Caenorhabditis elegans: one gene and its partners. The protein of the gene in region 1 purifies or fractionates together with the protein of each later gene. This does not show direct contact. Each region holds a gene or a part of one and is shown in the gene's direction. Other genes may lie near its edges.

What was found. Proteins that work in one complex are often made in the same cells at the same time.
Region 2: the proteins of cox-6A (region 1) and nduf-5 fractionate together in Caenorhabditis elegans (co-fractionation; one large-scale study listed by BioGRID). This does not show direct contact.
Region 3: the proteins of cox-6A (region 1) and T13F2.2 fractionate together in Caenorhabditis elegans (co-fractionation; one large-scale study listed by BioGRID). This does not show direct contact.

Annotation. Positions count from the first base shown.
Region 1 is NC_003281.10:5,077,861-5,085,973, forward strand, and holds cox-6A (Cytochrome c oxidase subunit 6A, mitochondrial), read left to right. Parts: upstream 1-3,865; 5' UTR 3,866-3,874; coding exon 3,875-4,010; intron 4,011-4,077; coding exon 4,078-4,229; intron 4,230-4,898; coding exon 4,899-4,997; 3' UTR 4,998-5,127; downstream 5,128-8,113. Other genes in the region: alh-1 (Aldehyde dehydrogenase domain-containing protein), read left to right, coding at 711-839, 887-1,083, 1,425-1,702, 1,749-2,495, 2,557-2,645; cah-1 (Putative carbonic anhydrase-like protein 1), read right to left, coding at 5,346-5,489, 5,537-5,758, 5,810-5,990, 6,344-6,456, 7,178-7,429. UniProt on the Caenorhabditis elegans protein: Component of the cytochrome c oxidase, the last enzyme in the mitochondrial electron transport chain which drives oxidative phosphorylation.
Region 2 is NC_003279.8:2,998,941-3,007,096, reverse strand, and holds nduf-5 (NADH dehydrogenase [ubiquinone] iron-sulfur protein 5), read left to right. Parts: upstream 1-4,249; 5' UTR 4,250-4,259; coding exon 4,260-4,493; intron 4,494-5,501; coding exon 5,502-5,633; 3' UTR 5,634-5,737; downstream 5,738-8,156. Other genes in the region: Dual specificity mitogen-activated protein kinase kinase mek-2, read left to right, coding at 894-1,068; Y54E10BL.3 (CcoQ/FixQ family Cbb3-type cytochrome c oxidase assembly chaperone), read right to left, coding at 1,496-1,563, 2,751-2,834, 2,885-2,912; dnj-28 (J domain-containing protein), read right to left, coding at 5,831-6,282, 7,589-7,932.
Region 3 is NC_003282.8:9,794,269-9,801,867, reverse strand, and holds T13F2.2 (Putative RNA polymerase II transcriptional coactivator), read left to right. Parts: upstream 1-4,513; 5' UTR 4,514-4,515; coding exon 4,516-4,596; intron 4,597-4,641; coding exon 4,642-4,743; intron 4,744-4,786; coding exon 4,787-4,876; intron 4,877-4,922; coding exon 4,923-5,024; 3' UTR 5,025-5,180; downstream 5,181-7,599. Other genes in the region: Delta(5) fatty acid desaturase fat-4, read right to left, coding at 477-583, 632-723, 770-837, 885-1,178, 1,256-1,606, 1,743-1,853, 2,269-2,397; pis-1 (PAX-interacting protein 1), read left to right, coding at 5,279-5,452, 5,510-5,570, 5,617-5,721, 5,770-5,924, 5,969-6,281, 6,349-6,708, 6,767-6,916, 7,152-7,480 and 1 more. UniProt on the Caenorhabditis elegans protein: General coactivator that functions cooperatively with TAFs and mediates functional interactions between upstream activators and the general transcriptional machinery. Binds single-stranded DNA.

The DNA of each region.
Region 1 (8,113 bases):
AAGTTTCTCAGAACGTTGTTTTAAAAAAATTGCAAAAAAGATAGGAATCACACAGGATAACCTTGAAAATGGAGACAATGTTGAGAGAGACTCTAATTTGAATTTTGAAAGAAAAAATTACGGAGCCCATTGGATCGCCAATTTCTAAAAACGTTGATTTTCAAGTAATTTGTGTTTAAAGAAAAAGAAAACAAAAGTGGAAATTGTGCATCGAATCTTATTGGTTTTTCTCAAAAATCCGTATTTTCCGCGAAATTCAAAGTTACAAGAACATCACATTACGTGCGCTTTGAAACCGCCGTTATCAGAAACTGCAACAGAAACCAAAAAGATGAATTTGAACCTTTTGATCTGTTTTTCTGCTGCAAAAATGTTCTCTTCTCATGTTTTCATTACATTATTTCAACGGAACCACGTGCCCTCAACGTTGTGCTCTGTTGTGTACCTAGTACACAGAGTACGATCAATTTAAAATGATGATAATAAAAAGAAAAAGAAGAGAGCTGATACTATCTCATAGGGAAAACGTGGTCGCCTGAGGTGGAGAACGAAATGAACAATGAACTCGGTCAACAGTGAGATAGGGCAATCAAAACTGAACGATGATCGGATTTGAGAAAATAAACTTAGAGGGCAGAATTAGGACGAAATGTGATACTTCTCCAAATCAGGGATTCAAATTTCAAAAAAGTTTATATCTAAATTTCCAGATCTTCATCAACAATGAATTTGTGCCAGCCAAGTCTGGAAAGACTTTTGAGACTATCAATCCAGCCAACGGAAAAGTTTTGGCTCAAGTCGCAGAAGGAGATAAAACAGATGTCAATATCGCTGTCAAGGTTTAAATCTAAATTCGAATTTTAAAGCAATCTTCAAACTTTTCTAGGCTGCTCAAAATGCATTCCGTATCGGCAGTGAGTGGAGACGAATGGATGCTTCTCAACGTGGAGTTCTTCTGAATAGACTAGCTGATTTAATGGAGAGAGATCGAGTTATTTTGGCATCTTTGGAATCTTTGGATAATGGAAAGCCATATGCAGTTGCTTACAATGCTGATCTGCCACTTTCTATCAAGACTCTTCGGTGAGTTCGAATAGCATAAATTGGAGAATTTTGCTGTAAAAAAATCCCAAAATAGTCTGTAATTAAGAAGAAAACTCAGAAAAAACGAAAAACTTTACTGCCAAATGAGCAAAGAGATCTACAAAAATAATTTCGAATTCTCAATTTTATGAGAGAAAAAAATCGAAAAACAAAAATTTTTGATTGTCCGGACAACCGTAAATCAAAAAAAACTGTTTAGAAAATTAACAGCCAAAAAATGCAATTTTTTGAATCAAATTTTGTTTGTATTGATGAGAAAAATTAAAATTTATTGTAAAAAAAGGAAAAATGGCTAACATTAAAAAATAACTTTATTACAGTTATTACGCCGGATGGGCTGACAAGAATCACGGAAAGACTATTCCAATCGAGGGTGACTACTTCACTTACACTCGTCACGAACCGGTGGGAGTCTGCGGACAGATTATTCCATGGAACTTCCCACTTCTTATGCAAGCTTGGAAACTTGGACCAGCGTTGGCTATGGGAAACACAGTCGTTATGAAGGTCGCCGAACAGACTCCACTTTCAGCCCTTCACGTGGCTGCTCTCACAAAAGAAGCTGGATTCCCAGATGGAGTGGTTAATATCATTCCAGGTCAGTTTTGTAAAAATTGTGAGTTTCTCAAATAAATAAATTCCAGGATACGGACATACTGCCGGACAAGCTATTTCGTCGCACATGGATGTTGACAAAGTCGCTTTTACTGGATCAACTGAAGTTGGAAGACTTGTTATGAAGGCTGCTGCAGAATCGAATGTCAAGAAGGTCACTTTGGAACTCGGAGGAAAATCACCAAACATCATTTTCGCTGACGCTGATCTCAATGATTCCGTTCATCAAGCCAACCACGGACTCTTCTTCAATCAAGGACAGTGCTGTTGTGCCGGATCCAGAACATTTGTCGAAGGAAAGATCTATGATGATTTCGTAGCTCGTTCCAAGGAATTGGCCGAGAAGGCTGTTATCGGAGATCCATTTGATTTGAAAACTACTCAAGGACCACAAGTTGACGGAAAGCAGGTTGAGACTATTTTAAAATATATCGCTGCTGGAAAGAAGGATGGAGCTCAATTGGTGACTGGAGGAGCCAAACACGGAGATCAAGGACACTTTGTGAAGCCAACTATCTTCGCTAATGTTAAGGATCAGATGACTATTGCTCAAGAAGAAATCTTTGGACCTGTTATGACTATCATTAGATTCGACACAATGGAAGAATTAGTTGAAAAGGCTAATAACACTATTTATGGATTGGCTGCTGGAGTTATGACTAAGGATATTGATAAGGCACTTCATATTGCCAACGCAACCAGAGCTGGATCTGTCTGGGTTAATTGTTACGATGTGTTCGATGCTGCTGCTCCATTCGGAGGATTCAAGCAGTCCGGTAAGCTAATTTATTATTAAAATTTCTCCATGCCAAAGTTAAAAAATACTTTTTCTTTTAGGAATCGGTCGCGAACTCGGAGAATATGGTCTTGAGGCATACACTGAAGTAAAGACTGTCACCATCAAGGTTCCACAGAAGAACTCATAAATTTCTTGAATTTTCGCTTTCCCTGTAATTTTTGTTCCTTTTGCTTTTTTTTTTGAAAAATGTTTATTGCTCTTAATATACGTGTTGTATTTATCTATTTTTCACATATATTGAAAAAGAATTCTGAAAGAAATAGACACCTACAGGACGACTCATAAAAGTCTCGACTTCTTTGTGAATTGATTGATTCAGGACAAACGAATTATTACTCTGTACATTAGAGGATCAGTCGTAAAATCTTCAAAAGGCAAAAATTTTACGAGCTTCCGGTAGGTTACGCGAAATTTTAAAAAAAATTTGGAACGCTTCACGAATTTGCGTGTCATCCTTGCGCAGGGGCCATGCTAATCTTCTCTGTATTGTTCCAATTTTAGTATATGTTCTCGGAAGAACGAGACAGCCAGGACCAGTTGTTGCTTATATAGTGGCCACCTGCAAGGCGGCAGACATCTCGTGGGTTCCGCAATTCTCCGTCAAGCAACTCAAAAAGGGCAAGAATCGAACCAAAACTTGATACTTATTTCCGTCAATAACTTTTTAGCCAATGAATCGATATTAATAATTTTTTATGTGTTCGTTCTACATGTCATGTTTTAACAGGTAACAAAGTTTCAGAAAATTTGAAGCATTTCTAACGGAGATAATAGGCAAATTAGACAGCATGTTGCAGCACAATTATTTCACACACCTTAAAGGCGCACGCCATTTCACCGGCTGGTCTCGCAGCGAAGACGGCCTCTCCGTTATTTTCTCTTGAGGAAACGTGCGTTTCTGTGGTTTTACTTCACAAACAGTGCTTTTATTGATTATTTTTGAGTTTCAAATGATTAAATTACAAATTATGAATTTTTTAACCACAATAGCATATAAACCGCAGCCGTAAATCGATATTGTTCGACTAGAAATTCCACTTTTTCGAATTCAAATCTGCAAGTGTTCAACCATGTCATTCAATCATTATTGTCGGGTTTAAATTTCTAAAATTCTTCATAGCAATTATTAGGTTTCTTAAGACGTAAGAAAAACCTCATTTGTTTTTATTTTGTGAGTTTGTTTTATTGCTTTTTCTGATTTAAAAATCACAATTTTGTACTTTTTCATCAAATCACCTGATTTTTCTCTTTTTTTCTCAATTTTCACGTAAACAAGTTTGTTCCCCCTCCTTCTCCCCCCGCGTTCCGTTTTTCTCACAAATCTCAACTTCATTTCAAATTTTAAAGGTATCCGACATGAACCGTCTCGCTCAACCAGCTACCCGCTCGGTCGTCAAGACCTTCCAACGCAAATCCTCAGGATCATTTTACGGATCCAACAATGTCGAAGGATTCAAAGAGTCATATGTCACTCCACTCAAGCAAGCTCACAGTAAGTGTTTTTTTTTAAAATAAATAGTTTCTATTTTGATGTTCAAAGATTAAAATATATTTTTCAGATGCTAGCGAGACCTGGAAGAAAATCTTCTTCATTGCTTCGATTCCATGCTTGGCTCTTACCATGTATGCCGCCTTCAAGGATCACAAAAAACACATGAGCCACGAACGCCCAGAGCACGTCGAGTACGCCTTCTTGAACGTTCGCAACAAGGTAAAATATTCGTTTTTATCTTGAAATCTGCCATAGTTTAAAATTTTACTTAAAAAATGTTATTTAGCTTTCATGTCTTCCTCATTAAAGAAGTTATCGGCAAACTGTTTAAAAATGTCATCTTTCTGGCATTTTTCAAACTAAAAAGGATGACTGTGAAGTTTAATAATATTCAAAACGAATTAAAAAAAAAACAGTCGCTTTTTTGGAATTTTAATTTCTACAATCAAGCTTTTAAATGATTATACAATTTTATAATTTGGCGTTTTCTCAGTAATTAAAAAAAACGATTGGTCTCAATAAATTCCCAAGATGGTTAAAAATTTCAAAAAAAGAGTAAGAAAAATTTTAGCTAAATCTCCAATTTAGCCAACATGTTCTAGTTGCAGCTGCTGGAATACAGTTTTATTGAATTATTGTTTTGGTCTATCAGACTAAAATTGACCTAAATCGACGGAATAACGTAAAATTAACAACCAAAACATGAAAAAAGGATGATAATAAAATAAATACTCATTTCCGACGTTTGCAACACAGAAAAGTTGACAAAATTAAAGATTTTAGCAAAAACTTTCCTACTTTTTTGCAATTTAGAATCGCCAACATTTTTTTCTTGAAAATCAATCAATCCATTCTGAAAATGCATTCCTAATAAATATTCAATTTCAGCCATTCCCATGGTCCGATGGAAATCACTCATTGTTCCACAACAAGGCGGAGCAATTTGTTCCAGGAGTTGGATTCGAGGCTGACCGTGAGAAGCACTAAACAATGCTGGACGATACAATTAATCATCATATTTAACGTCATCCATTTGTGTGTGTGCTTCGAGTTGTTTAGTTTAACAAAACGAGACATGTTTTGCGCAAGTGTAGTTTCAGAATTGTATAAAAAGTCGAAAAAATTATTGCAAAACAAGAACAATTTGAAAAATATTCGTGAGAAATCTTTGAGCAAAGTCGGGAGTTTTCTTTTCAGACAAATGGATTATTGTGGCGACGAGAAGAATGCTGTTGTTTTGGCAGTGGCAAATGATTTGCACGATAGTGGATTTTATTCACTGAGACATTGCAATTGTAGCTCATCTGGAATTCAAATAATTTTCTTCAGATATTTTTATGAAAGAAATATCCAAACCTTGTGCTGAATATTTGTTCTTACTAGTCGATTGTTAGTTTCTTGAATTTTCCTGAAATTTGGGGCAACGGGGACTTTCTCGGCGCCTTCCATGCTCAGATATAAGTGTGACCACTCCTCGAACTGTAAATTTAGAATCAAAGTTTTTTATAGACTATTAAAAAACTTACATGCTCCTTTTTGATAAAAATAGGTTGATTCAGAATAATCCAAGTGACAGTCTCATGGCATCCAGGAGAAGTGAGAGATCCTTCATAAGTGATAATATCTCTAGTGAATGGAAGAAGTCGCCAAGGTTCGAAATCAGCAAGTTGGACACGTTGATCCTTGTAACTGATGCTAGCTGTTGCAATTGTTAGTTTGATGAGTTCTTGATTAGTTTCAGGTCCAAACTAAAATATATAAATTTGAGATTTAACACAATTTCTAACGAAGCAACTCACATCTACCAAAACTGATAAAATTGCAATTCCATGTGGAGACTTGGAGGCGCTCGTAAAATTTGGATACAAATCTGTATTATATGCAACTAATTGTACTTCCATCGGAAATCGTCGTCCATTTATTGTATGCTCACTTCCGTTCTCATTTTTACGACCCATATGAAAATCGATTCGTTGAACCCTGTAAAGCTTGAATGGTATATCACGCGGGTTCTTAAAACTTCGTTTTTGAAATCGAGGTGAAAGCGCGCTCTATAGCCAAATGAAAACGCTCCGCCCCCAAATAGTTGGGTCTCGTTAGGAATTGGCGAAAACTTGTGAATTCAAACTCTTAATAACGTCAATAATTTTTTTTGCACACCACTTCAACTAAAAGAGCCTTAAAACAACATAAACATATTTAAAAATGCTTGAAAATGTTTGAAATTATGGTTTTGCCGCCAATACCTAACGGGACCCAACTTTAGAGGGTGGAGCCTTTACATTTGACCGTGGAGCGCGTTTGCACCTCGATCTAAAAATCATTTCACTCACCGATACCTATAACCGTATAATGGACCACTTGTAATATTGACGGATGGTTTTTTAGAGGAATATCCTATTCGAACACGAACCATTTGACCGGTGTTCACAAATTCTGAGACAACCTGAAGTTGTGGAACTTGCGCGTGAAATATTATGATGTATACTACCCAGGCGCGAAATTTTGCGATGTTAGCTCCAAAAATACGGTTCCAGGTCCCTAATTTTTTATTACATGCGAATAGGTGTGCGCCTTTAAAGATTACTGTGTGTTTTCAAACTTTTGTTGATGTGGAATTTTAAACGATTTTTCATAGTTGTTTCGATAAAAAATATGTGTATTTTTGTTAAAAACTCACATGTAAAAATGTAACGCATAAGTTTTAAAGAAATCGTGAGATAAATTATTAGGAAAAAATTCAATTCCGCATAACTGAAAGTTTGAAATTACAGTAATCTTTAAAGTCTTTTAATGAGACCCGAAGAACTCGGGGGATGTCCAATTGGGGGGATTACCAACTCGGGGGGATTGGCCCCGCCCACAGAACCGTGGCTTGCAATACGCCCATTTCTGCAACTGCCGCACGGTTTTAAAATTATTTTTTCTTGTTAATTCTCGCTCTATTGAGAAAAATACAGTTTTAAAACCGTGCGGCAGTTGCAGAAATGGGCGTATTGCAAGCCACGGTTCTGTGGGCGGGGCCAATCCCCCGAGTTCTTCGGTCTCCTTTTAATATTTTAGTGAACGTCTTTGGAAGTCCGCCGCTTTTTATAAATTAACAAATCGATTTTGCAATCAAAATGTTGTCTTCAAGTTAAAAAATCTCAATAATTATTCATGCTCACCGGTAATTTATCCAACCTGACTGGCTTAACACTAGCATCGAATAAAAGTCGATCTGGTTGAATATCGATTGGTGATTGCAATCTTCCCTTCTTACACATCCACCAATCTTTCTCCACAAGACCCCAAAAATGGGGACCTCCAAAAACATCAGAATCATATGACCATTGATAGTTTTGACTAGATTTCAATGGAGAAATGTGACAAGTGAGAATGATGAGAAATAAGGGAAAATGGCTACATTCAAAGCGCATAGGAGATCTGAATTATTGAATTGAGTTGATTTTACTCATTTGTGAGATCTAGATCGTTAATTATTTTATAAATTTTCAGTTTAAATATTTCACCATCTTGAAGACCGAAACTTTTTAGCCTCTGAAAATTGAAAAAGACATGATCACCTGAGAAATAATGATTGCTTTCTTTTGCTTCGTCTTCTTCGAATTCGACTACTTGGAGATGGTTGCTATGTTATTAAACTCGGTCCTTTTTCTTCGAATAACCAATAGCAAAAATAAAGGAGTCTGTCTTAAATTGAGATACTGAATTTTTGATTGGAAATTCGAACACCCCCTCGACCTATTATTCTGAAAATAAAGAGACGCAGATATTGGGGGAAAGAATCTGAGAAAAAGGGAAAGAGATGGGCGACACAAAACGAAATGAGCGGAATTTGTAATGAGGATGAGAGTCTACGAAAAATGGGAAATTGAGATGTGTGTGTGGGGAAGAAAGAAGCATGAAAAGAAGAAGATGGAACCTCATAATAATGGGTTCATCCCCATTGATACAAATAAGACGAAGAATAAATAAATAAAATGAGAGAGGGAGCAAAAATATTGAAAATTTGAAGATGAAAAATGATTCAGGGACTGTAACATTTGAACAAGGTTTGGAAAATCTAGGGATCATTAGCTCAATAATTAGTTTTTTCGAGT
Region 2 (8,156 bases), on another chromosome or scaffold:
CTTTTTTTTTGAACCTCCATAACTTTTTTTGAGAAATTTTCAGAATGTCTCATTACGAAATTCGGTAGTTTTGGACCAATTAAAAAAAAAGCAAAGTTTCAAATTTCGGTACTCCTTAAACACTTTTAAAATATCGAATAAAAAAAAGAAAACTTGGGGAAAAAAAACAAAAAAAAGTTTTCAGCAGTTTGGATTTGAAAATCTTCAAATTTTCGCGCCCTTTTGGTGCAAAAAATTCAAAAATCAATTTTTACGAAAGTTAAATTTACAGAATCGAAAAAAAGTTTTTATAGGCCCCTGATATCGAATATCAATGTGAAAAAATTCAAAAAAAAACCCTGATTTTATATTAATTTTTTAAAATCCGAAAGTCCTAGTTTTAAGTTCAAACGACAAATTTTGCATGCTAACCGTGCCGCAGGTGTGGATTTACGAGATTAATATTTTTAATCTTTTTTTATTTGATTTTTACATCGATTTTTCTCGTTTTTTCCGTTATTTTACATTGAAATTCTTGTGATTTTCCCTAATTTTTGACTTTTTATCTATGAAATCGATATTTTCATGTAATTTTGGATTTTTTCATTAGTAAAAAGTCATAAATTAAGGGAAATAACTTAAATTTCAATGTTTAAAAAAAACGAAAAAAATCAGGAAAATCGGGGTAAAAATTAAATTAAATAAAAATAGATAAAGAATATTAATCTCGTAAATCCACACCTGCGGCACGGTTATCATGCAAATTTTGTCGTTTGAATTTAAACCGAGGATTTTCGGAATTTAAAAAATTAATATAAAATCAGGGAAATTTTTTTTGAATTTTTCCAAATTGATATTCGGTATCAGGAACATAATTATGATCTATTAACTTTTTTAAAATTTTCAATTTCCAGTGACGAAGTGATTGGATTTGTGTCGAAATGCCTTCGAAAACTTCCAAGTGAACGAGCAACCCTAAAATCTCTCACCGCAGACGTCTTCTTCACACAATATGCAGATCACGATGATCAGGGAGAATTCGCGGTTTTTGTGAAGGGAACGATTAATCTACCAAAGTTGAATCCATAATTAATTTTGGATTTTTGTATATTTCGATGTCTCTTTGTCTCTCACTGTCTAGGATGCTCCAGCTCCAGGGGGTGATTCTACGAAATGAGCCAATATTTTTATTGATATTTTGTGATGGAAAATATTTAGAAAAATAATTCTTATATCAGAAAATAGCTACTATTTTAGAGTTGGAAAAATTGAAAAATGCCCAAAAATTTGTTAAAAAAAGTGATTTTTAGGCAGATTTGGCGAAAAACATAGCCGATTTTTTAAAAGGAAAATCGAAAAATTGATCATAAAATTTAATTTTGTAAATTAAATTTTGTGTATGTTGATGAGAAACAAAAAGAAAAATGGCCAAAATTTTAAGATATATTTGATTTTTTTTCTATTTTCCACAGTTTTTTGAGCATTTCTTCAATTTCTCAATTGCCATCTCGAGAGATCAATCCGATTTCTTTGCATTCGGCTCCTTCGGTGTCATTTTTTGAGTCGCTTTCTTCAGCGCCGTATCTGAAAGTATTCCTCTTTTTTTTCTTTAGTTTAGACTATTTTTCATTTACTTTGTAGATTTTTCCCCATTTTTCCCTCCACATTTCTGTCCCGCTTCTGATTAAGATTAAAGTATTTTGATTTGATTTTTGAATTTTTAAGTTTTTTTTCGTTGGTTTTTATAGTCGGTTGAAGCTCCCGAATTTGCATTTTTCTTTTATTTTTTATTATAACTAAGGGTTTCGTTGAGAAACTCGGTTTTTTTTCAGAGATGATCGAAAAAAAAAATTGTTTTTTGAGGAAAAAAAAAATTTTTTCATTAAAAAAGGCAAAAAATTATCGAAATTTTGAAAATGCCTCGAAAAAAAAACGAATTTTTTTTCAAAAATAAAAAATAAAATTTCGGATTTTCTCGGAGCAAAGCTAATATTGATGAGAAAAAGCATAGGAAACCCTGCAATTTTTTTCAAAAAACAAAAAAAAACGAAAAATTACCAACATTTTGAGAGATTTCTCGAAAAATAGATTTGTTTTTTTGGAAATATCGAAAAAAAAATTAGTTTTTATATTTTCCCGAAAATAATTGGAAAATTATGTTGTTTATATTCATGAGAAAAATCTAACATAATTTTATTTTAAAAAAAAATGACCAAAACTTTGACATATTTCTCGAAAAATCAATTTCCGGAAATCGAAAATTTTTTAACTAACTAAAAATTCTCATAGAAAAAAAAACATCATCGATTTTTACCTGAAAATCTAAAAAAAAAAGATATATATCGAGTATTTTTAATGTTAAATACAGAAGGAATTGGCAAAAGATGGCCAAAAATTATTTTTCCGGCAAATCGGCAAATTGCCGGAATCGACAATTTCCGGCAAATTGTGGCCTTGCACATTTTTTTGGAACTTTTGAAGAATTTCAATTTAAATAGGCAAAGAAATTTTTAAAAAAGGCATCCAATGAATGTTCTTACATCTATTTTAAAAAATTAAAAATTCTATGAAAATATCTAACGAAAAATGGGAAAAAATTTTAAAAAGGCACAATTTGGAGTGTTTCCGTTTTAAAAAAATCGCTCTACAAATTTCCGTCATATCGATATCCGGCAAATAGGCAATTTGCCGAAAATGAAAAATTCCGGCAATTTCCGCACACGCCTGGGTCAATCGATATTTTTCTCACAAAATTCAAAAAGCTGACTCACCCGGCTCATCAGGAGTTTTCGAATTAATATAAATAACTGTGAGAAAGACGAGAAGCGCGACGACAGGAATAAAAACGTGAACAGCTGAAAATTCATGAAAATCGGTTGAAATTAATTTAATATATTTAACTCACATTCAACGAGATTATAGACGGCGTCCATGTTTGACAGAGCCCCAAGTTGCCTTCTTGCTCCGAGAGAGAAAGAGCACACACTACTGCGCTTGATATCGATTTTTGTGTGCTGCGAAAAGCGTTGAAGAAAACGGAAAAGGAGACCTCCGTTACGAAAAAGATGTGAAAAAGACGAGAGAGGGGGGGGGGGGAGAAGCTCGGATAATAAAATGAATAAACTGGGAGAAAGAGGAAAAGACTTTTGTGGATTTTCAACAATTTTTTAGTAGCAAAGATTCGGAAAATTAGCCGATTTTCCTGAAGAAAAGTTAGTATGAATAAAAAAAATAAATTGACGAAATTTTTTTGAACTTGGAATCCACTTTCAACAATTTTTGAATACAAAGATTTGGAAAATTTGGCGATTTTTTGCGGAAAAATTAGTAGATGGATGGAATTTTGCTGAAATTTTGCTGGGATCCACCGAAAATAGGAAAAATAGCTTAAATTGCGAATAGGTTTTGCAAAAAAAAAATTTTTGTTGAATTTTTGAAAAAAAAGCAATTTTCTAGAAGAATATTTTATTGGTTTTATCTAGTTTTTTGGGAATTTTTTTTTGAAATTTTTCCAAAATCTGGGATTTTTCACCATTTTTCCTTTTTTTTGCGTGATAGTTTGAGATTATTCATGATTTTTCTTCTCTCGAGGCATTTTTTCGAAATTTATTCAACAAAAATTACATTTCATGGCTTTTTTGATCTTGTAGCGTGCCTTTTTATCCAAACAGTATTTAATTTTAGGATTTTTTGGGTAATTCTGAAATTATTACGGGAACACAATTCTAAAAATGCGTATTGCACAACACATTTGACGCGCAAAATATCTCGTAGCGAAAACTACAGTAATTCTTTAAATAACTACTGTAGCGGTTGTGTCGATTTACGGGATCTCGATTTTTGAAATTAATTAATTTAACGATTGAATATTAAAATTAATTTTCTTTAAAAAAAATCGATATCCCGTAAATCGACGCTACCGTATTCATTTAAAGAATTACTGTAGTTTTCGCTACGAGATATTTTGCGGGTCACTCAGAATTTTGCGTTTCCGTAATATTAGTGTGTTTCTTTTTTCGATTTTCCGATACTTAGACAAATTATTTTTTTTTTTCGAAACATGTCTATAAATTTTAGCTATTTTTCTTCTTTTTTTTTGAGAAAAATGTTTTTTTTCCTATTTATGCATTTCCTCATCGACATAAAAAAATTAACACAGATTTTAAAATTTTAGTTTTTTTTTCTAAAACATTTTCTGATTATCTCTGAAAAAAAAACCGAAAAATCGATATTTTGCTTCTCAACTCATAATAAAATTCCAAAATTCCAGAACATCCGCAATGGCAACTGGTAACCGTAATCCGGAGAACTTCACATCATTGTCACCAATCGTAAAGGCTCCAATAACCGATACTCTTTCGGTTCCACTCTCCCAACAGGGACGTATCTGCGGATTCTTTGAATCTCAATTCTACCGTTGTATGGAGGCTTACGGAGCAAAGATGGGACGCAAGTATTGTGATCTCGAGCATCGTGACTTCCAGGAGTGTGTCACTGGGGATAAACAGAAGAAGGTTCGATATCCGGAACAGAACTGTCGCGAAAAAAAATTGGACTAAAAAACAAAAAATTAGTGAAAACCAAATAAATTTGATCCCTTGAATTTATTCTTTTAACGGAGGACTAACGGTTCGGACGATTTTGAACGTATAGACCCAAAATGTTCTCAAATGAACGAATTTCGTAATGAAACTTTTCAAAAAATTTCCAAAAATTTTTTATGGCGGTTCAAACTTTTGAAAAAATTACACTGATTTTGGCTAAAATCTCGAATTTTGCCCATTTTTCCGTGTCACATCTGTTCGAAGTTGGCTTTTTTTGGAATTATCGTCCTTTATTACATATATTGGTAATTAATCTCATTTAATTTCGTGGATCAAATAACATTTAAAGCCGATAGGTAACCAATTTCGATGATTTTTGGTTACCTATCGGCTTTAAATGTACTTTAATCGACGAAATTAAATGAGATAAACTACCAATATATGTAATAAAGGACGATAATTCCAAAAAAGCCAACTACGGACAGATGTGACACGGAAAAATGGGAAAAATTCGTGATTTTAGCTAAAATCAGTGTTATTTTTCAAAATTTTGAACCGCCATAAAAATTTTTTAAAAATTTTTGAGCAGTTTCATTACGAAATTCGTTCATTTTCCGGAAATTTCTAAAATTCTAATTTAAAAAAATGTTCCTTCATTTTTCTGATTTTTGAGTTTATTTTCTCGTCTTCTTTCATGCAATTTTTCCGATTTTTCTCCTATTTCTAAAGAAAAGAAAAATCGAAAACTCTGAAAAATTTGGTTTTTTAACTTTTGGATTTTTTTTGTTGATAAAATCGAATATTTTTGGTTTTCGATTTTCCTAAAAATTTAAATGTGTGTTCTCCAGTTTTTTTGCCCTGAAAGAGAAAAAACTACCATAATCTTTTTTCTGCGCATCGAGACCCATCTGAATAAACCCGTGCGCCTTTAAAAAACATCACATGAAATTCCAAAATAATCGAAAAACAATTTTCCAGAGAGCTGACGCCATCCGTGAACAACGCTGCAAGCTGTTCCTCGACGGAAAAATCGCGAAGCCATACGTCGACAATCATCCAGAACCGGGACAATTCAAGACTGATCACTTCCAGTGGAATCGTATCAACTAGATACTTGAAGTGCCTTTAGTTTCGAGAGAAATCGCCTTATTTTTTGTAGTTTTCATTTCTTTTTTCTTTTTAATCTTTTCTAAGTACATAAAAAGATTTATAATAAAAAAAAAAAGAAGCAAGTTAAGAGATCAATAATAGTCCGGGTAACACATCCAATGACACAATAATATCTATATCTATAATGAAATATGAAATTAAAAATGGAAGAAAAAGTCGCCGCCACCACGGCCGCCACCACCACCACCGCCGAATGGATTAAATCCGTGGAAATTATGAAATCCGTGTGATCCTCCACCTCCACCTCCACCCCTCCCTGCTTCCGAATCCAGTGGATCTTGTCCATTATCGAAAGCTCGCCGCTTCTCCTCATTGCTCAAAACTTCCTTCGCCGCGGCAATATCGATAAACTTCTTCTCAGCTTTCTTCTTCTCCTTCTCATCCTGAAAGTTGTCCGGATGCCATTTTTGAGCCATTTTTCGATAGGCTTTTGTGATTTCTCGTTTATTGGCGTTCCGGCGGACTCCGAGAATTTTGTAGTAATCTCGTTTTCCGACGAGTTCCTTTGCACGCTTTGCTTGATCTTTTCCAGTTCGGACGGCGTCGTTTGATGAATCCCATTCTTCGGCTTTTTCGTAGTCAGCGATTGCTGGAAATTAGATTTTGATGATCGATAAATCCGTGAAAAGCAGCGCCGCACAGAAAAAGAGGCGGGGCTTATTTTTGCAATCCTGCGGCACGGTTTTTCCTCCTTTTTATTGATTTTTTTCAATGAGAAATTCTGAATTTCGTCAAAATTTTCTGTTAAAACGAAGAAATAGCGTGCGGAGGCTTGCGAAAACCTGCGCCGCACAGAAAAATAGGCGGAGCTTATTTTTGCAACCGTGTCGCACCGGTTTTTCCTCCTTTTTATTGATTTTTTTCAATGAGAAATTCTGAATTTCGTCAAAATTTTCTGTTAAAACGAAGAAATAGCGTGCGGAGGCTTGCGAAAACCTGCGCCGCACAGAAAAAGAGGCGGAGCTTATTTTTGCAACCGTGTCGCACCGGTTTTTCCTCCTTTTTATTGATTTTTTTCAATGGAAAATTCTGAATTTCGTCAAAATTTTCTGTTAAAACGAGGAAATAACGCGCGGAGGCTTGCGAAAACCTGCGCCGCACAGAAAAAGAGGCGGGGCTTATTTTTGCAATCCTGCGGCACGGTTTTTCCTCCTTTTTATTGATTTTTTTCAATGAAAAATTCTGAATTTCGTCAAAATTTTCTGTTAAAACGAGGAAATAACGCGCGGAGGCTTGCGAAAACCTGCGCCGCACAGAAAAAGGGGCGGGGCTTATTTTTGCAACCCCGCGGCACGGTTTTTCCTCCTTTTATTGATTTTCCGAATGAAAAATCCGATTTTCATTGAATTTCGTTGAAAATTTCTGTTGAAAATGAGGAAAAAACGTGCGGCGGCTTGCGAAAACCTGCCCCGCACAGAAGGTTGCAAAATTACGCCCCGCCCATTTTTCTGCGCGGCGCAGATTTTTTTCTCATGTTCAGCAGAAAAATTCGAACTAATTAAAATCGGATTTTTTTTGGAAAAAAAAAATTTTAAAAAAGCATTTCCAGTAAAAATCCATTTTTATTTGAATTCTGTTCGAAATTTCCTGTTAAAAACGAGGAAAAAATAAATAAAAGCGTGCGGCGGCTTGCAAAATCGATGTTCAATCGCTCCGCCCCCCACGACTGGGTCTCGTTAGGTATTTCGCGCCCTTTTTAAAAATGGTTTCCGTTGTTTTAATAATTTTTATGACGAAATTTATCCAATTTTTAGACATAAAACTCATTAAAAACACCCTAAAATTGTTAGAATTCATGAATTTCCCACCAAATTCCTAACGAGACCCAACGTTCTGGGGCGGAGCCTTTTAAATTGGCCGTGGAGCGCGCTTGCAGAGTAACTTCTAAAACGGACCCATATCATACTCCTCGTCTGCCATATAAGCTTCAGCTCTCTGAATCAACGTTTCCACATCAGAATCATCAAATTCCAGTACTCGAGTACACTGTTGAATGGCTTCTCCTAGATTTCCGTCTTCTCGATTACATTGACACATCAATCGGAAAATGTTCATCCGAATCGGAATTTCTTCGTTCTTTTCCAGAAGTTTTTCACCAGTTTCCAGGCATTTTGTCCATTCCTGTTGTTCGATTGATGCCTTCATAGAATCTAGGGATTTTACGATTTTCTTCAGTGATTTGTAGGAGGTGTAGCATTTTTTGTGATCCGGATTAAGCTTCAGACATTCGCGGATTGAACTGAAAAATTTGAATTTAGCTCAATTTACGTAAATTTGCGCGTTTTTCTCCTTCGAAAAGTGTTAAAATTGCAAAAAACGCAAAATTTCGACTATTTGAACGGATAAATCAAGAAATGTAGTATTTTTCGGCGAAATTTTTATAAAAATATGCTTAAAACATTGATGTGTTTTGTATTTTTTTCCAATTTTCAGCCAAAATTCAAGTATTTTTTGTCATTTCCA
Region 3 (7,599 bases), on another chromosome or scaffold:
TTGCTTCAGTGGGATTATTTGATCGTTTCTTTAAATTGAGTTTTCAGATACCTCCCTTACGATTTTCGATTTTAATTGCAGAAATCAATCAAAAAATCGAGTGTTCCGGTTAACCCACAAAAACCTATCAATCTCTTTATCAGGTTCGTCCTAAAACAGTCGGTTTCTTGTTATCACTAAAATCATAGACTACGCAATACCTCATTCGTTATCAGTTATGGAAAATGAAAAATGTCACGAAACTGACAGTATTGAACTCTTCAACATCATAAGACAAGGCACAAAGCTACATGCAGCTGTGAAGAGGCGTTCCCAGATCAAAGTAAACCGTATGAAAATTTTGACAAGTAGGGATCAATGTTTCAATAAATTGATTGAATTCTAGCTATGGTGTCTCCAAAGAATATAGAAAAACGGCAGTTAACGTAAATTATCAAAAAATGTATTCTTAAATGGAAATTTAATAAAGAATTTACCTGATAGTTAAGACCTCCCCAAAGCCAGTCAATGAATCTTCCAGGTCTCATATTTCTTGTGGTCATGATTTGAAGACAAGCGTAATTTGACATGATGTTCGAGCTCACTGAAATAAATTTTTGTATAATTGTGATTCAAAATAATTTCAACTTACATGCAAACTTCTCCACTGAATAATGATTGAAAGTAACTACATGAGAGAGCAGGAAACCTCCAACAAGATGAGAAACAAGGAAGAACATTATTCTGCAAAATTAATAAAATTATCTAGAAATCTGCGTAAAAACCGTACCTAGTTGACCAATCGGGTAGGAAATACAATTGACCCAATGACCAAGCCCAGTGCAAAGAGAGACCAACCTAAACTAATGCAACATTTGAAAAATAATTTTTAAAAATGTACAAACCTGTTCATAAATCGCAGTATTTCTGTAATAGTCATAATAATGAGTTGGCATCTGACTAACAAAAATGATTGACTGAAGAAGCCACGAGAGACGGAGGAATGGTAACATGAATGTCCAATGAACATGTTGCCATCTGAATAGAGTCATAACCCATGAATCCTGAGAATAATTGTTGAGATGTTCTGCCACTGTAGCATAGAATGGGACTAAATCAAGATCTCCGTCTCGTCCAACAACATTTGTGGCTGCGTGATGCACATTGTGCTGCTCTTTCCAACCACCAGATGAGAATCCCTGAAGAATTAAGTGTGTTATTTATTCGGTTAATTATTGTGAAAAGTGAATAGTACATTATTGAAAATGTGACTTACTTGTAAAAAGTTTCCAACGAAATAGCTGGCCAAATCATTGTAGTATCTGTTTTTGAACAACTGATGATGTGCGAATTCATGGATTAACCATCCCAATTGTTGCCACGCAACTCCCATTAGAATAGCTGATGGAAGATAATATGTGTGGTATTGAAGGTAGAATGCAAAAAGAATTGTGAAGATTGTTTCAAGAATTTTTCTAATGTAGAACAAAGGAGATCCATCCATAAGTCCTTCTGCACGAACTCGCATACGTAGATCAGTGAAACTTTTATTTATTTGGGCAGATCGTTTCTCAGAAATATTGAAAGTTCCCATGTTCACATCATCAATTCCTTTGATTGGGTCATCCTGTAGATATTTTTCATATGTTTTGGATTATTATTTAACGGTATACTGCGCTAGAATTTTGAATTGAATTACTCGAAATCAGATTTCAAAAATCCCGTTTTAGGATAAACAGTAAATTTTTTGAAATTATTGTTACCTTAATATCTGGGATCTCTGGTTCTTGTGTAGGGCACTCTTTTTTCAATTCTGTCAGCCATTGATACGCTTCTTTAGAACCAGTATGGAATGTGTGGAATACGGTAGTGGCCTGCAAAATTATTTTAATGAAATATTCCGATAAATTGAATGTTGGCATGATATTATTAATTTTTATTTATGTCTTCCTCCTTTTTGAGAGACTAATCATTTTCTCGGATTATCTCTTTTTGGCGTTTTTTTTTATTAAACTTCACATGTGATGCACGTGATAAGGGGTGTTCTCTGTACATTGTTCACTGAATTTGCACATTTTTGTTCACAAGGAACAAATTTACGGGCACGTACACACTTATTTGAGTTACACGTAAATAACGATATAACAATCTAATAAGATATATATATAATATATATAATAATATATATAATAAGAAATATAAGAATAATATATAAGAATAACTAATAAGAATAAGATATAACGATATAACCGACCGCTTTTTATTTTTTTAATTAAATAGAAAGCTTACATCCATATTTTTATAGGTAGTAATTGCACTACCACCTGGATGTGATCTCAGGACAGCATCGTCAATTTGACACCATTTTCCATCAATTTTAATGAAGAATGGCTCATGCTCTTGCTCTCGTAATACCATTTTGATATCACAGCGGTGGGACCCAAGGAGGATTGAAAATTCCTAAAAAAACAGAAAAAAACGTATTTTTAGTAAATTATTTCAAAAGAAGGAGCAAAGGAAACGAATAATGTAAAGAGAGGGAGAGTTGATATTTCAAAACAGGTTTTTGAATTGACAGTAAACAAAGATCTTGCTAGAAATGAGTTTATGGGGTCACATGTCAGCTAATCGTAGTATGATCTCAAGTTTTTTGAGCACCTGTTCTCTGATATTAAATATGAACATTTTTCCGAAGAAACTTCCAGAAAACGTTCTAAAAATTTGAGAGACTAACTCATATTACACAGACGCGAAAATTCTCGATTTTTGCGACAAAAATACGGTACCCGGCATCGACACGACAAATTTTTGGTAAATGAGCAAAGGTGTGCGCTTTTAAAGAGTACTGTAATTTTAAAATTTTGTTACTCCAGAATTTTTATCGATTTTGCATAATTTTATCACGGTTTGTCAAACACCCGTTTTTATTTAAAAAATAATTGGCGTGTCAAGACCGTATTTTCGACGTAAAAATTGCAAAATTGCGCGCCGGGGTAGTACTTGAAAAGGAAAAAGAAATACTTTAAATGATTGCAGATGAATTTTGAATGATGAACCGCAGAAAAAGGAGATTTTTGAACTTTAGATGAAAAAACACCGAATTTATCCTTAAAATCTTGCAATAAAAACGAATAGTCATGTGTAGATCTATGTCATATGGTAGTAGTGCATATCACAAAAATATGAAAACGACATTTTCCTTTCAGAGACATTATCATTCATGGAAAATCGCGCCATTAATATTCTTTTTGCTCCTACCAAAGAGCACAGTGGTCAGAGGCTGATGAGACGAAGAAATGAGTTTTTGAGAGATGAAAAAGAAGAAAAGTGCGCTCTTCGTGTTAAAAATGAAGGATGAAAATTGGAAAATTAGATTTTAGCTAAATTCGATTTGACAAATAAGACGTGCACTTTGGCTCGCATCCGGGCTCAAAATACTTCCAAAAAATTGAAGAAACATGTTGAAATCAAGAAAAACGTTGAACATTTGTTACATCTCGTTTCCAAACGTTTGTTCATTGAAGTGATGTGCATTATAAGTTTACAGCGTTATCATTTTTAGACGCATAATCAAAAGTTGTGAACAAAAAAATTAAACTGATAAATAAAATTGAAGTGGTAAAAAGGTACTAGGATTGATGTATGAAAACTCTATGAAAAACTGGGTGAAAACCACACGAAGGTCACCTTTTCGGTGTGATCGGGCGATAGATTTTGCAAAAAAAAGTTCCGAATCGAGAGAAGAGATGGGAGAAATCGATGAAAATGTGGAAAGTTTTTTACAGAACCACATCACAATGGGATGATTTTTGAAAAACAGAACAAAGAACATGTTTCCAAACTGTAGAAAACATTAGGTCGAAATTAATGGATCTGGAAATTATTATGAACCTATAATCATGGTCTTAGGACGGAAGAATTTAGAGAATTAAACAATTTTTGAACAGAAACTTTGATAATTTGTATTTTGAGGTATCATTTCGGGCGAGCCAGTTTCCGTGATTTACGCAAGAAATGGTTTTTATTTTCCGCATAATTACCATCTAAAATGCATGTTGATAAGACGATTATAATGATAAGGCGGTCAAACTATGAGAGCAATTAATTTGATGGTGTCGCGAGGAAACAATCATTTGGCGCGTTCATATTGTTTTTGAAATGCATGAATTTGACGAGTTAACCACAGAAGACACAATATATATGATAATTCTACAATTATGTACACAATTTCCAAATAAGAAAAAAAACAAATTGGGAAACAAAAAATCCGGCTGAAAAATTAAAAAAAAAGGCTGCTGGCCGAACACTCATCAAATATGGCCTAGAAGTCTCCTTTGTGAAAGTTCTAGGCCAAGGCGTTTGTTCGAACAATTTTAAATTTATTTTTAATTGAAAACACTTTTTATTTTATTATAAGGTAGTATAACTTCATTTTTCTATTATATTCAGCCTATAACTTTGTTTCATCAAATATTAAACTACCCGCACACAGTCTAATGACACGTCGCCGCTCAAAAAATCGATATATTTACAGACATGTCGTCCTCCTCTTCATCTGAAGATGAACTTGAAAAGAAAGTGACTAAAGAACAGAAGAAGAAGGAAACCAAGTCAAAGGTGGTCTTGTTTTGAATTTGAGTTTGAAATATTGTCAATTTTCAGAAAAGGCAGTCAGAAGCCGTTGAAGAAGAGAAACAAGAAGTAAAGAAAGCTAAGAATGAGGAGGAAGTGTCTGGACGATTGAAAGACAGCGATGGAAATGAGGTAATTATTTTATTATTTATAAATGTTAAATAAATTGTTTCAGATGTTTGAGATCGGAAATCTTAGATACGCGACCGTCAGCAAGTTCAAGGGAAAGGAATATGTCAACATCAGAGAATATTACATTGACAGAGTAATTTGAAGTGGTAAAAGGCAAATCAATGCTTTGTTCTTTTCAGGATTCTCAGAAAATGATGCCAAGTCGCAAAGGAATCTCGTTGAGCAAAGCACAATGGGCAAATTTGAAAGATCTCATTCCAGAGATTGACAAGAAATTCTAATTTCCAACTTCAATTATTACATTTTGCTCCTCCGAATGATACTTACATTTCCATTACCAGAGTAATTTCCCACCGGTTTCATTTTGTTTTGTTGTTAAATGTTGTTTAGTTATTTTGAAAACCATGCTGACCCGAATGAAAATGTTTCGTCTCATCGCCAATTATTTGATTTTTCAAGAGAAAGTTGACAATGCTTTTAAATATCTATCATTTCCCTTTCTGATATCATATATCATCTAATACAATTTTAGGAGATGGCGGACCCGTTGAGTAAGGAGGAAGACATTCAACATCGTCCCGATTCTCCTCCCTTGGGTCTTTTGGATCCATCACGAATCCAAAATCCTCTTGCCAACGATCAACTTCATCAAGTGCCACAACAACAAAATCCGTCGGGATTTGTAATGCCCGAACAACCAAGACAACAGGTTTTGATTCATTTTAATTTTTCTGTTTCTATCAAAATTACAAATTTATTTTTTCAGCCACCGCCACAAACATGGCAGCGAACACCCACGATGAGCCCAGCCAATATATTCCAAGGAGGTGAGAACACACATTTTAAAAGTAAAAATGTCTAATTTCCTGTCAGATTCAGGATCAGGCACACCTGGAAGTCAGCGGAGTTCCACTGGAACACCGAACCATCAAATGGGCAATCCCCCACAACATCAACAACAACAATTCTTTCATGGAGGTCGGTTTTTGTGTTTATGAATATTTTAAATGAATTTTTATCTCCTAGAAAGTCCCGCACATTCGCAAGGAACTCCGATGACACCGCAAAGTGCTGGTATGCCTGGCTCAAATTGTGGGACCCCTCAGAGCGCCGGTGGTCCACCGACTTCCGTTCCGTACGATTATCAGCAAGCACAGATGCAACAGCAACAACATGCTCAGGTAGATTTTAATTAAGTTTTAATTTTAAAATTAATTTTTTCCAGGCAATGGCAGCGGCAGCAGCGGCTCAACAACAACAGCAACAACATCTTCAGCAACAACAATATGCCCAGAATCCGCAGCAAATGCACGATTCACCGTATCGGCAACATCAGATGATGCAAATGCATCAACATCCCGGACATCCATCGCAATATCCTCCGGGATATCCGCAACAGCAGGCGGCTCAGTGGCAGCAGCAAATGTATGCAAGGCAAGCTGCAGCACAAGCTCAGGCTCAAGCCCAAGCTCAGGCGCAAGCTCAAGCCCAACAAAGAGCGGCAGCACAGAGAGTTCCAGTACCGTATCCGCCAGGAGGTGAGTGAATTGTGTATTTTGTCTACTAATTTAAAACAATAAAAAGAAATGAAATAGTAGTTTTTAGCCTATCCACCTGGAATGCCTGGACCAATGACGCCTGGATATCCTGCACAAGCGCCCGCTGCTCCTCGAACGACCCCGGGCTCTGCCGGACCTGGAACAGGACCTCCAGGGACTCCACAACGTCCACAGTACCCTCAAGGAACAAATCCACAGCCACAACAAGCGCAGTTCACCTATCCACCTACACAACAGATGACACCTACTGGGCAGCCTCCCGGGTATCCCGGCATGCCTGGAACCCCTACATTCTCGTCTCCAGCTCATCAAATGTTTCGACAGGGTCAGCCAACTGCTCCACCAGGAATGCGACAGTACATTTCGCCTCAGGCAGGACAACAGCAACCGACCCCTGGAACTCCACGTATGATTGAAAACAAAAAGAATAACAATATTGCAAGTTTGTAAACTAAATACTTCAGATCGTTTTGCTCCGCCGGGCCCATCTGGTACTACATCGTCGCCGCATTTTGCTCCAGGAGCACCTGGTGCTGATTTGAGATCACCGTCATTGATGTCCCCAAATCAGCAATCTCAACAGCATACTCCCGTTTTACCGAGAAGCTTGCATAGTTTGTTTTATGATGTTCATTGAATATACATTCAGCATCAGAAGTGTACGGCATTTGGATAAAATACTGATAGCTAGCCTAAAACTCGGTTTACCCATCGTATACCATTTTAAACATAGGTACTTCCTAATCGATAGAAAACGTTGATTTTCTTCAAATGCAGAAACCACATACCGCACACCTCTTCAATTTTCTGTGAACAATTTTCTGTGAACAACATAAACCTTTTTTCCAGACGAAATGACATCTCATGGAATGCGTCCGATTGCTCTTCCATCCCAACCACTTCCACAAACCCAAGGAACACCTCAACCGATTCTTTCTGCATCATCACTTCCGCCTCAATCAGCTGGAGCCACACAGTTTGTGTATCGTCCACAACAGCCGAATCAAATGAATACAATGAACCAAATGAATCAAATGCATCACGATGTGAACCCATTCCCGATACAAATGAATGTTGATCCAGAACTTTATTTAACTGGTATTCACTTTCATTGCTTCGATTCGGAAAAGTTGTTTGAGGACAAACTCGATCGTAAGAATTTGGAATTTATGATTAAAGTAAGCTACAAATTATTATTATTTAATCATCATTCTATAAATTGTAAATTTTCAGTATCACGGAGGGGACATTGAATTTGAGGCTTCAAAATTCCATGAAAGAATCCATCAAATCACGC